Linked DNA regions of Saccharomyces cerevisiae S288C. Changing the gene in region 1 together with any one later gene gives a genetic interaction. Each region holds a gene or a part of one and is shown on either strand. Other genes may lie near its edges.

Evidence for each region. Genes that interact genetically often act in the same process or in processes that back each other up.
Region 2: mutations in GND1 (region 1) and HEM3 together harm fitness less than expected from each alone (positive genetic interaction), as found in Saccharomyces cerevisiae (one large-scale study listed by BioGRID).

What each region holds. Positions count from the first base shown.
Region 1 is NC_001140.6:466,322-472,929, reverse strand, and holds GND1 (phosphogluconate dehydrogenase (decarboxylating) GND1), read right to left. Parts: upstream 1,971-6,608; coding exon 501-1,970; downstream 1-500. Other genes in the region: SSP1 (Ssp1p), read right to left, coding at 1-186; RGD3 (Rgd3p), read right to left, coding at 2,354-4,711; SVP26 (Svp26p), read right to left, coding at 5,016-5,702. UniProt on the Saccharomyces cerevisiae protein: Catalyzes the oxidative decarboxylation of 6-phosphogluconate to ribulose 5-phosphate and CO(2), with concomitant reduction of NADP to NADPH.
Region 2 is NC_001136.10:90,923-96,574, forward strand, and holds HEM3 (hydroxymethylbilane synthase), read right to left. Parts: upstream 2,824-5,652; coding exon 1,840-2,823; downstream 1-1,839. Other genes in the region: YCX1 (Ycx1p), read left to right, coding at 1-1,542; YDL204W-A (uncharacterized protein), read left to right, coding at 3,211-3,363; RTN2 (Rtn2p), read left to right, coding at 3,683-4,864; ACK1 (Ack1p), read right to left, coding at 5,160-5,652. UniProt on the Saccharomyces cerevisiae protein: Catalyzes the tetrapolymerization of the monopyrrole porphobilinogen (PBG) into the hydroxymethylbilane pre-uroporphyrinogen in several discrete steps.

The DNA of each region.
Region 1 (6,608 bases):
ATAAAAATTCTTGTTAAATATTTCAGGAACATCCTCCTCTCCTTGGTGGTTGTTATTTTTCCCATTTTGTAACCACCTGCGCATTCTTTCCCTAAATTTGGTAGGCTTTTTCTGCTTCGACTGCTTTGGGGAAGTTGAGGTTATTTCCCCAGAAGGATCATTCTCATATGTGCCAGAGCTTCTCATTGTTGCTAGCTTTTCTACTCTACTTCTATCATGATAATAGGCACTATTGTGAAATTTTTCACTTTTATTTTATTTTCTGACTTCATGATTTTGTGTCGCCTGTTTGCCTTTCCTTACGTAAAAAAAAAAAAAGAAATGGAGATAGTTTCGGGACCCCGTTTATAAACCTTTAATATTTTAGAAAACACATAACTTCATATACTATTTATAATTGCATTTGGATTTATTTATCTATTTATTATTATGATTACTTTTACTATAACTAATCTATTTCATTAAATTTTTTTGGTTTATGTCCAGGTTGGAGATTTCCTTTAAGCTTGGTATGTAGAGGAAGAAACATTACCACCGTGGCCAGTCCAGTTGATATGGATATCCTTGTCTACTGGCAAGTTGTCAGAAGCACATTCTGGCAACACTCTGAAAGTGTGAGCACCAAAGTAGTCACGTTGAGCTTGTAGTAAGTTGGCTGGCAATCTTTCAGATCTGTACCCATCGTAGAAAGACAAAGCGGTGGAAAAGGCTGGTGTTGGGATACCGTAGGTGGTAGCCAACGCAATTGACTTTCTCCAACCAGATTGAGCCTTGGTGACGGCATCAGCGAAGAACTTGTTGAACAACAAGTTTTCCAAATCTGGTTCTTCTCTGTAGGCCTTTGTGATTTGACCCAAGAAAACAGATCTAATGATACAACCACCTCTCCACATCAAAGCGATGGCAGGGTTGTTTAGTTTCCAGCCATAAGTAGCAGCAGCTTCACGGATCAACATGAAACCTTGAGCGTAAGAAATAATCTTGGAAGCATACAAAGCTTGTTCCAAATCATCGACAAATTGTTCTCTGTCCTTGACGGCGTCTTTTGGAACTTCTGGGCCTGGTAAGACCTTGGAGGCTCTAATTCTCTCGTTCTTCAAAGCAGATAGACAACGGGCAAAGACAGCTTCACCAATCAAAGTAACTGGCATACCCAAATCCAAGGCGTTGATGGCAGTCCACTTACCAGTACCCTTTTGACCAGCAGTATCCATGATTTTTTCAACTAATGGCTTACCGTCGACGTCGTCGAATTTCAAAATATCTCTGGTAATTTCGACCAAGAAGGAATCCAAGACACCATTGTTCCATTTGGCAAAAACGTCACTGATTTCCTTATCGGTAAACCCACCCAATCTCTTCATGATGTCATAAGCTTCACAAATCAATTGCATATCACCGTATTCAATACCGTTGTGAACCATCTTGACGTAGTGACCAGCACCGGCTGGGCCAACCCATTCGCAACATGGTTCACCGTCGGATTTAGCAGAGATGGATTGGAAGATGTTCTTAATATGTGGCCAAGCTTCTTCAGAACCACCTGGCATCAAAGATGGACCGTAACGGGCACCTTCCTCACCACCGGAGACACCAGAACCAACGAAAAGAATACCCTTCTTCTTCAATTCTTCGTAACGTCTATTAGAATCTGGGAAGTGAGAGTTACCACCATCGATGATAATATCACCCTTTTCCAAAAGTGGGACGATTTGGTTGATCAAAGCGTCAACTGGAGCACCAGCTTTAACCAAAAGCATGACCTTTCTAGGTCTCTTCAATTTGGAGATGAAATCTTCAATGGAAGTAGCACCGATGATAGATTTGCCCTTAGCTTCATTGGCCAAGAAATGGTCGACCTTGGATTGAGTTCTGTTGTAAGCACAAACAGTGAAACCGTGGTCAGCAGCGTTCAAGATCAAATTTTGACCCATGACGGCCAAACCAATCAAACCGAAATCAGCAGACATTTTATTGTAGTTTTTGTATAGAAAGTGGCTTTTTTCTGTAATGGCAACAATACAGGTTTATATGTATCAGGCTATTTACTTTATTATGTAAGAAAGGACCCCACTAAGAAAAAAGGAAACCTTTGAAAAAGAAACAAGCTCAGGAACAATACTGCAGCTTTTAACGAACATCAGGCCCATTTATATAATACAGCCTCGAAGCCCACCAAGGCCAAAGCGCAAGGCCGCGTGGACCACCAGGACGAAGCACCGCGTAACACCGAGGCACCGTAATGTAACACCGACAGCCACAATAGGTACAAAAGCAGCACAACCTCGAGGCGGGACGAAAGAACAGAGAGGTAGCAGGTGATTTACGTAGTTACTATGTAGCATGCATGGAGTTATGTAGAAGGGACATCGTTGACGTTGATGGGAAGGAATAAACCACTCTTACGTTTAGGTCTCTCTGGGGTTGTCGGAGTAGAACTAGTCTTGAATGGCCGAGGTATGAAATGGCCATCCTTGTCGTTTGGCGGTGGCTTAGGGGTAGAGTGTATAGGTGCCGTTGTATCCTTTATAATTATCGTCGGCGGTTCAGTGAGTGTCGCAGTAGTTGCCGTCGTGATCCTGTTTGCGATCAACGTTTGCAAAGTTTCTACAGTTCTTTCGTTGATGAAAAATGTAGATAATGTTGGTGACAAGATTTTGATGTCGATAGGGTTCTGTAAGCCTGTTCTTCTTACGAAGTGATGGGCCAATGGTATGTCTATGTCACTGTTGTCTCTAAACAAATCTTGTATTGTTTGCGGCGGAAGTGAGTATTTGCTATTGATCAATTGAAAATGGTTTGCTAGTTCTTGTAGAAACCTTAAGGAGCTCGTCGGAAACTGTTCACATAGGGATGTTAGCGATTTTTCGGCCTTAATTAAGTCATCGTAGTGGTTTGAAGGTATTAGGCTGTCGGGTAGCTCTAACAGCCATAATTTTATCAGTCCGACGAGATCATTAGTGACATAGCTGTGCGAGTTTTCAAAAAAATGAGCAGTGATTATAGAGTTTGTATTTTCGGTAGTTTTCGATCCTTTGAATTCCCCCAATAAGTCTCTTTTCAAATTAGAAACCCTTACAAAATCAATATCCCTGTGCCAACTTTGTATGACTTTATTAGCATTTGGTTCCTTTTCAATCTGCCGCAGTATAATCTTTATTGCCCCTAACGTATCAAGAGCAGCCAGTTCATTATTTATTTCACTACCACAGAAAAACTTTTCGCTTTTTATGGAGATTTCTTTGCAAGCGTCGACTGGATCACTCGCTTCTAGGATATTCCACCTGCGAAAGGGTATGCCATTATCCCTGAGGAAAAACCCTCTTACATCCGCATTGGCAGTTTCCTGTGGCAGTTGTGCTTCTTGTAGAGAACACACAGGTGAGTCAGTAAATTTTTCACATTTTTGTTGAAACATCATGTTTGATGATTCTAGAGCTCGTTTGATTCCGTCCTCCATTTTAGAGTAATTTTTACAATAATCATAAATGGTTTTTTCCAACTGCACTTTAGAATATTCCAACTGGCAACACTTGGAGAAAAAAATATCTTGTGATGATTCAAGTTGCTGTTTTAAACTCTTCCACTCATTTTTATTCATATCTGTACTTCCCGCTGCATCGCAATCATCATTATCATGTTGACTAACTTTGCGGATCCAATCGGATATAGATGTTTTGATAGATGAAACGTTGGACTTTTCTTCGTGTTCATTGTCGGAGTGTGTTAACTCACCATACGATTTTTTTTTTCTGTTTCCAGCATTACCATTACTCTCTTGCGTAGCAAGGACTTCACTGTTCCAGTAATAGTATTTTTCCTGGTCAAACTGAGAAACTTTGCTAGAGTAAAAACTCAGGGAATATTCTTGTATTATACCCAGTTGGATGAATTCGTTACCTATCCTATCGATATTAAATAAGGACAGGTTTAGTCTGGGTTCAAGTTTTTTCAATTCTTTGATCAATGACCTGCCTTGGAAACTTTGATTTGACAATCCTGGAACGGAAAAGACACTTTTCTCCAGGATGACTTTTCCCTTCAAGGTTTGCAAAAATGACATAAATTGGTCGCAATCCTCAAATTTTAACCTCTCGTCTAAAGTGTAAGGAAACTCGCATACGAAGTTCAACCTGGTTAACGGTGCACTATCCTTTCCATTATCAAAAACAGAGGAAGAATTTTCCACTGGCGTATTGGCTTTTTTCAATTTATATATAGACTGAACTCTTTTCTCACATCCAATTAGTGCCTCTTTAGCTGCGACTAAATCCTTAATGTAAGCTGAATAACGAGATGACAAATCGTTTTCTGCCTCACGAAGGAAGCTCTCATTAAGATCTCTTAGTTCTTGCAATGGAATTTTACAATCTCTTTCAACTTGCTCTGTTGATATTATATTAAACTGTTTGCTCATCACTTCCAGCAGCCTGCTATTCATTGAATTGGTTGCTTCCATTTTTTGTAAATTGTTCAATGTTGGTTTCCAAAATTTGTTGACAAAATCATTGTAAAATTTGATGTCTTTAATCAGCAAATCATTTTCTCTCTTCATATGTTTTATGAATAATTTGATACCTGTTGTATAGTCTTTGGTCCAATATGTGTTCCTTAGTGAAATTTTAACTGAGTCGCAATCAATGGAGAGTTGCCTCGAATTCTGTAATTCATCACCAATAATATCTTCTTCGTTATGCTCTTTAACAGACATAACTAGAGACCGAAAGAAAATGCTCTCTTTCTCTTGCCTTTGTCTATGTAATGACAATACTTAATCTACTGGGCCTGACTGGTTTTTTGTTTACTAGTTGCTCTAAAAAATGCAAACGTCAATAAAAAAGAAAAATATGGAAAAGAAAATATACTTTCCCGTATTAACTTGGGTAAAATATAGTAGTATTGTATTGGTGATTTTTCTTTCCTGTGCAAAATAGTTGGCAGAGCATTACACATATTTCTTATTTAGAATATTCAAATAAAGAAAAACTAACTACATGTTAAAAAAAAAGGCAATCCTAAACAGCCAATCTATCAAAGTCAGGTTCTATCTCATAACCGAATACACGGGCTAGAGAGTAGATGTACTTCCTTACCGAGTTGATGACTACACGAGCTAACCCAACAGCCCTTTTACGAAATTTTGGCTGGTTGTTCGTTGTGATGTCATCATTTTTCTTAGCCATATGTTGCTCACTAGTCGTTGGTAGCACATAATCACCAGCTGACAGAGAAACAAATAAGGCAAATGGTATGAACCAAACGCATATACCAAAAAATGAGGCTACTTCAGCGAAACTAGCACGTCTGCGTGGTATATAATTTGGATCAAATTTGAACTGTGGGGGAACTTCCGTATCATTAAAATATTTGAACCAGAAGTAGTGATTCAAGACCACACATACGCAGCTTAATAGGAAAGTTGGGCTGGTTAACGAAATAAATGGGAAACTTTTTAAGTTTTGGTAATATACTATGTAACATGCAATGGAAAAAAGTGTAAGTTTGAACGGGAAACCGTCTAGTAACAGTAGCAGAATTAATATTAATATTATACCATAAATAGCCCTTGTGAGAAACCGTCTTGTGGGTTCTGTGTGTTCTTCAACAAGTTCACTAATGTAGTATAAACCCGATGCAATTGAAAGTGTTAAAAAAAGAAACCCTGAAACGGTTCCTGCATAAGAAATCAATTCTAACAGCATGGTTTTATTCTAACAATTTCTTTTCTCCCTTTTGCTCTTTTTCTCACTTGTCAACTATATGTTTTTAGTTTTAATTTTCACATTGACCATTCAACCTTTAAAAAATCATAAAGTTATAAATGATAGAGAAATAAGAACAAAGGGAAAAAAAATAATACCGGTATAATGCCACCTGCCAGAATTGAACTAGCGACCTTTGCATTACAAGTGCAACGCTCTACCACTAAGCTAAGGAGGCTAAAAATACAACTATGTTGTATCTCAAAATAAGATACGTCAGTATGACAATACGTCATCCCAAACGTTCATAAAACACACATAACAAACGAATAGAATGAGTAACATAACTGTTGGAATGCGAGAATGAGATATTTGTGAATTTTGAGATAATTTGTGGGAATCCATTGTTCACAAAGACAATAATATTAGGTATATAGAATATGCTAGAAGTTCTCCTAGAGGATATAGGAATCCTCAAAATGGAATCGATATTTCTACATGATAATATTAGGATTATTCCTCATTCCGTTTTATATGTTTCATTATCCCATTACATTATCAATCCTTGCACTTCAGCGTCCATTAAGTTCGATGACTGTGTCCCAATCCTATGTCATCTTCTTACACCGCATGTAATAATATAATAGTAATATGACTACTATAAATAGATGACATTTTAGAGTTTCATGTCTTCATAAATGTTTGGCAGGAAGTTTGAAAAGATGGAACGTGCTGCTGCTGATGTAAGGGTCTGAATAAAACCGGATGTCTTGGCAATCCTAATGTCGCTAGGATAGTTGCTTGTCTTTCCAACAAAAGATATAATTCACAAATATTTCTCTGTGCTCCGCATATATTTGGCTTGATGTTTTAAATAGTTTGTGAGTAGTAATTCAATACAAATAC
Region 2 (5,652 bases), on another chromosome or scaffold:
AGATATGTAAGGCCTTTGGGGGATACACAGATTGATGAGGACAACGCTATTAGTTTAGATCCAACTCGTTTACCAAGTAAATCCCTGGATAACATTTCGAGATTTAATCAAGGTATACCTGAAAGAAGGGATTTAATAAGACGTAGAATACGGGGATATTTACGGTCGCATTATCATGGCTGGGTAAGAATGACGTTACAAGATCTTTTGAATATATGGGAGAAGCAGAATCTTTTTAACAATACAGTAAAATCGTTGTCTTTACCCTCCGATGATACTCATTTATTTACTAAAGCTTCTTTAGATGAAGAAGGGAGGCCTTTAATAAGAAAAAGGATGAATTCATTACAACCTAAGGATTTTTACAAATATTTGTCCCTACGGAATGGGGAAAATTCAAATGCGCTGGATACTGCAATCTCTGCTCCCCAAAACGAGTATCAAACTTACTATAATGAACCCACAAGTTTGTTTTTGACTGTGCCACAAAAAAAAACCTCCAAGAAATCATTAAGCTGCGATCGCATTCCAAACTTGGTCCGGAGTAATAATATTATATTAAATGACGAGGCTACACGTACACAGGAATCTACCAATGCCTTGAACAGCATATCAGATGTTATCGACAACTCTCTCTTACAGTATGAGAGAGATGATATAATTCTCGATAGAACACTATCTCTCTGTTCAACAAAGAGTAGAACCGCTTGGCATAGTTTCCAACTTTACAATTACTTAACAGATGTGTCCTTGGAAATTGGTTTCTTTGAGTTCTTGTCATTATTAGTCACTACGCCGGTATCAATAATTCTTTATCTTTCAATACCATCAGAGATAAGTCAAACAGACCATGACTTACCCCTTTCATACCTACAGAATATTCAATTGATTGCTTCGCCAATAATTCTCAACCAACTCATCACAAATAACTTTTCATTTTGGTTGCTCATCTTATCGCTGGTGATAGCCATCTTATTATATTTTAAAACTAGGACCATACCGAACAAGTTCAACTCTGATATAATCTTTACAGTAGCATTTTTATTGTCATTGGCCTGTCTTTCGAAAGCTGTCCACATAATTGTAGTCACGTTAACGCATTGGATAAATGTGTTTAATATATCGGAAACAATACTAGGTTTAACCATTTTTACATGGGGTAATTCGATTGGTGATTTAGTGTCAAATATTACATTCGTCAAAATAGGTGTTTTAGAAATCGCGATAGGAGCTTGTTTTGGCAGTCCACTTTTATATTTCTTATTTGGCGTCGGATTTGATGGAATTATGATAATGCTAGGCGACAAAACTGGAAAAATAGTGAGTGGCAGAGATAGTAATATTTTAATGCATCATATTGATTTTAAAGTGGATAAAAACTTAATCAATACTGGAGTCGGAATTCTGATCGCGTTTTTGATATTTACGGTTTTGATACCATTAAACGACTGGAAAATTGACAAGAAGATTAGTATTGCACTTCTTACGTTGTATATAGTTGTCACATGTATTAGTGTTTTTTTAGAAGTTCACCAAGTGTAATTTAATAAATCAAGATTTCATTTTTTATATACAAGCTATAATAAATATATTAACAACGAAGCTTGTATGAATAGTATAAAATAAACAAAGGTAGGAATTACATATTCTAATTGACAAAATATTTATGCAGTGGTCATTTGAAAATGGTCATTAAATTAAACAAGTAATATGAGAGGAATGAGAGGGAAATAAATAACTGAAAGATAAAGGAGATAAGGAAAAAAAAAAAAAAAAAAAAAAAAAAGGGAACTTTAGTTAGTAATAATAGAGTTTTTGGACTGATCAAATTAATGGTGTTCATTTGATTCTGTCTAAATTAATTTCATCCAGAATTTTCTTTGCGCCATCGGCAATCATTCTTTCAGCTAGTATCTTACCACACGCCATGGAATCTTCTTTAACATTTTCTATTAGCATTTCAATTTCGTCTTCTACTGCTTCTGTGCCTTCAACGTCAACTACAATGGCCTTTAATAGTAATTTTTTAGTCTCTTCATTGTATTTAGATTCCACACCAATAGGAACGGAACAACCCCCCTCTAAAGTTCTCATCAAAGCACGCTCCGAAAGGCAACATATAGTTGCATTTAGATCGCAAATTTCGTCAAGAATCTTCATCATCTTGGTGTCACCCTTTCTAATTTCTATACCCAGGGCGCCTTGTCCAACTGCATGGTACATTGTATCCGAATGGAATCGCTGCGTAATTCTGTTTTCCAACCCCATACGCATCAACCCAGCAGACGCCAAGATGATGCATTGGTACGGAGATTTTGGGTCGTCTAGTTTTTGTAATCTAGTTTGTATATTTCCTCTGACACTTTCAAATTTCAAATGTGGGTATTTTCTTTTTAGCTGAGCAGATCTTCTCACGGATGAGGTTCCCACAATCCCCCCGTCTGGAAGGTCATCCAGAGACTTATAAGCAGAGTAAAAGGGCATGACAAGACAATCTGTTGGATCGACCCGCTTAGTGATACCCCCCAGCTCGAAACCCTCTGGTAGTAAAGTGGGCATGTCCTTCAGAGAATGAACGATCAAGTCAAGCTTCTTTGAGGGATCGTCATGGTAAAGATGGTCTTCCAACTCCTTTGTCCATAAAGCTTTACCGCCAAATGAGTACAAAGGTTTGAATTGAATCTGGTCACCAAGAGTTTGCAAAGTGAAAACCTTGCAGTCGTAGTCCGGATACTTTTCTTCGATCAGTTTTAAAACATGGTTGGATTGTATTACCGCCAATTTCGATTTTCTCCCACCAATATGTAGAGTTTCAGGGCCCATAGTACGTGTGTATTTACCAACTACAAATTTATCTAGATTTTCTTCGCTTTTCTTTTTTTCTATTGTTCTAGATATTAATACGGGATGAGAAGAACAGAATATTCAAAATCTAATACAGCCCTGTACCATGCAAACACGAGCGTCAATCTGCCAATGACCTTGAATTCAGGCTATGTGTAGCAATAATACAGATAGTTAGTAGCCTCGTTTATATAAAGCGTTCCTTTACTTTTTCATTTTCTTTCTTTTTTTATGTTTGATTTTTTTACTTTTTCACTTTAAAAAATTGCTGAAATTTTCGTAGCCAAAAAAAAGACCTTCATTGCTTACTCATCGGTTTCTTATTGGTCAGACGCTCCCCAGGGTCAATTGACAAGGAGAGAAGGAATGTTATATGGGAATTGCTGCGTAAAGATGGTCAAAAATCCTGGACTGCCGTACGAACGACAATGTAAGGATGACTGCATTAGCCAGAAAGACATCTTTACCCCCGGTGCTGCCAGGGAGCAAAATAATTACGAAAAGTGGACGCAAAGTTAACTTAAACTACAAGGGTAGCAGCAGAATGTGTCGGTGGTACCGGTGTGATAATGCCCCATTTGAGATGCTTGTAATTGTGGCCTAGCAATAAGAACGCAAGGCGTTTTTGTTGAAAGGAGAACAAGGTTAGACGGTGACGTTTAGGCGCATAGGCAATCTCCCCTTATTGTTCACCCTTATTTCCACCCTCAAACGATAAAGCTTGCTACTTTGATGAAAAAAATATATAAAAGGGATTGAAAAGCAGATCAATTATGTAGCAATAGTAGTAATAACTTGTTCAATTGCTTGTCTCAACTTGCCACAAACTATCATCAACATGAATAGGAATACGACTACCAATAAGAACGCGAATTTGAATAACAGTAGAAATGCTAACGCTCCCGGTGAAGCAGGTCATCAGAACAAGACGGGATTGATATACTGGACTAACCCTAGCAAGTCGGGTGCGAGCTTTGCTGCGACTCTGGTGAGTTTGCTGATCCTCAGAAATGTCAATGTTATTTCTGTTTTACTTAAGATCGGATACATGGTGTTGTTCACGAGTTTTGCGGTGGAGCTTTCTACAAAGGTGCTATTTGATAAAGGAGTAGTGTCTAGGTTTGGCATGCAAGAGTCTCCGGACCTTGTTGGCGTCTTAAAGCCTCATATCGACCGCGAATTGGATCGTCTGCCTGCGTTAGAGGACAGAATCAGAAAGTTAGTGTTTGCACACAGAACAAGAAACAATTTTACCATTGGTGTTTCCCTCTATTTCTTGCACGGCCTATTTGCTATATTCTCTATGAACACTGTTTTGATAATGACCACCATCTTTTTGTACACTGTGCCTTTAATCTACGATAGAAAGCAGGCTAGAATTGACCGTGCTATCGACAGGATGAAGGATCTAGTTATTCATAGGTTTCACAAAAATTACAACAAGGTGGTTGAAAAGACTGAACCATACATTGACAAGATTATCCCACCCCAAACCGATGAAGGCAGCTACTCAACCTCTATCAGTAACGAAAACAAATCTTCTACTTCTCAACGTAACAAGAGCGGCCTTTCCTCTTCTGAGTTTGACAACATGAACGACACGTCAGCCTCCAAAAGTGGCAAAGACAGCTATTCTACCTCTCAATATAACCGAGCCGAATATCCAGTTTCTCAGAATGAGAATATTGGCACCTTAAAATCTGGGAAGCAGGAAATACCAACAGAGAAGGATTTCAACAACAGGCATGAAAACTTCAGTAAACCAGATGTCAAGACATATGATCCAAGAACAGTTGATATTGAAGAAGAATTAGCAGCTCATCAGCGTGAACTGGAGCAAAACCTAAAAGATGGTGATTACAATCTGGTAGGAAGCAAGGAAATCCCAGATCCAATCACCGTTCCAGCTCCAACTAGACACACCACTAAACCCGCCGAAAGCCAATCGATTCCCATCAAGAATAATGAAACCTTACACAAAACCACGCACGGCCTAAAGCAAAAATTGCAACACGCATAATCTAGTTTTTTTTTTTTTCTCTCTTCTTTCTAGCTAGTAGTTCATTTCCTTTTCTTTTTTTCAAAGAGGTCATATTTATCACCAACTATATATTTTTTTGAAGAAAAGATATCATTACAACGATAAGTAGTTACAATATTTTTTTTATTTAGTTTAAAATAATGAGTAAATGACGTCGCATTTCTTCGCTTTTGTTATTTTTATTCTCCTCTCATTTTTGAGGAGAATGTTACAATATTTTACTAATGTCCTGAATAATATTTGATTTATGGCATAATAAAGAAATGCGAATTCGTTAATTTGTCAAACTTCGAAGAGCATCAACTGCCTTCCTGAATCCCATTCTTGCAGCCCTCTGATAATATTGTTTGGCCAGATCCAAATCAACTTCACAACCGACACCTTTTTCGTAATAAAATCCTAAGGCAAATTCAGTGCGGGCTAATTTACCGTCTGAACACTTGCTGCTCTTCAAGGCCCAGTTGAATGCCTCTTTATTGTTTGGTTTCAAAATATTTGGTGCTCCCGTTAAGTACCATCCACTTAAGGATAACATTGCCATCGGATTCCCCTTCGGCTGAGCAGCAGCAGCTTTGGAATACCAATATATGGATTTTTTGGCCACCACTGGCAACCCTAGGTCTCCAAACTCATAACAATTTCCTAATTTCCATTGCGCTAAAGGGTACTCAAAATCTTTGGCACATTGTTGGTAGTATTTTATTGCCAGTTGAGAGTCTTTTCGTATGCCGTTCGCAAATAATAGGTTCTGGATTTCTGGCGGCAAA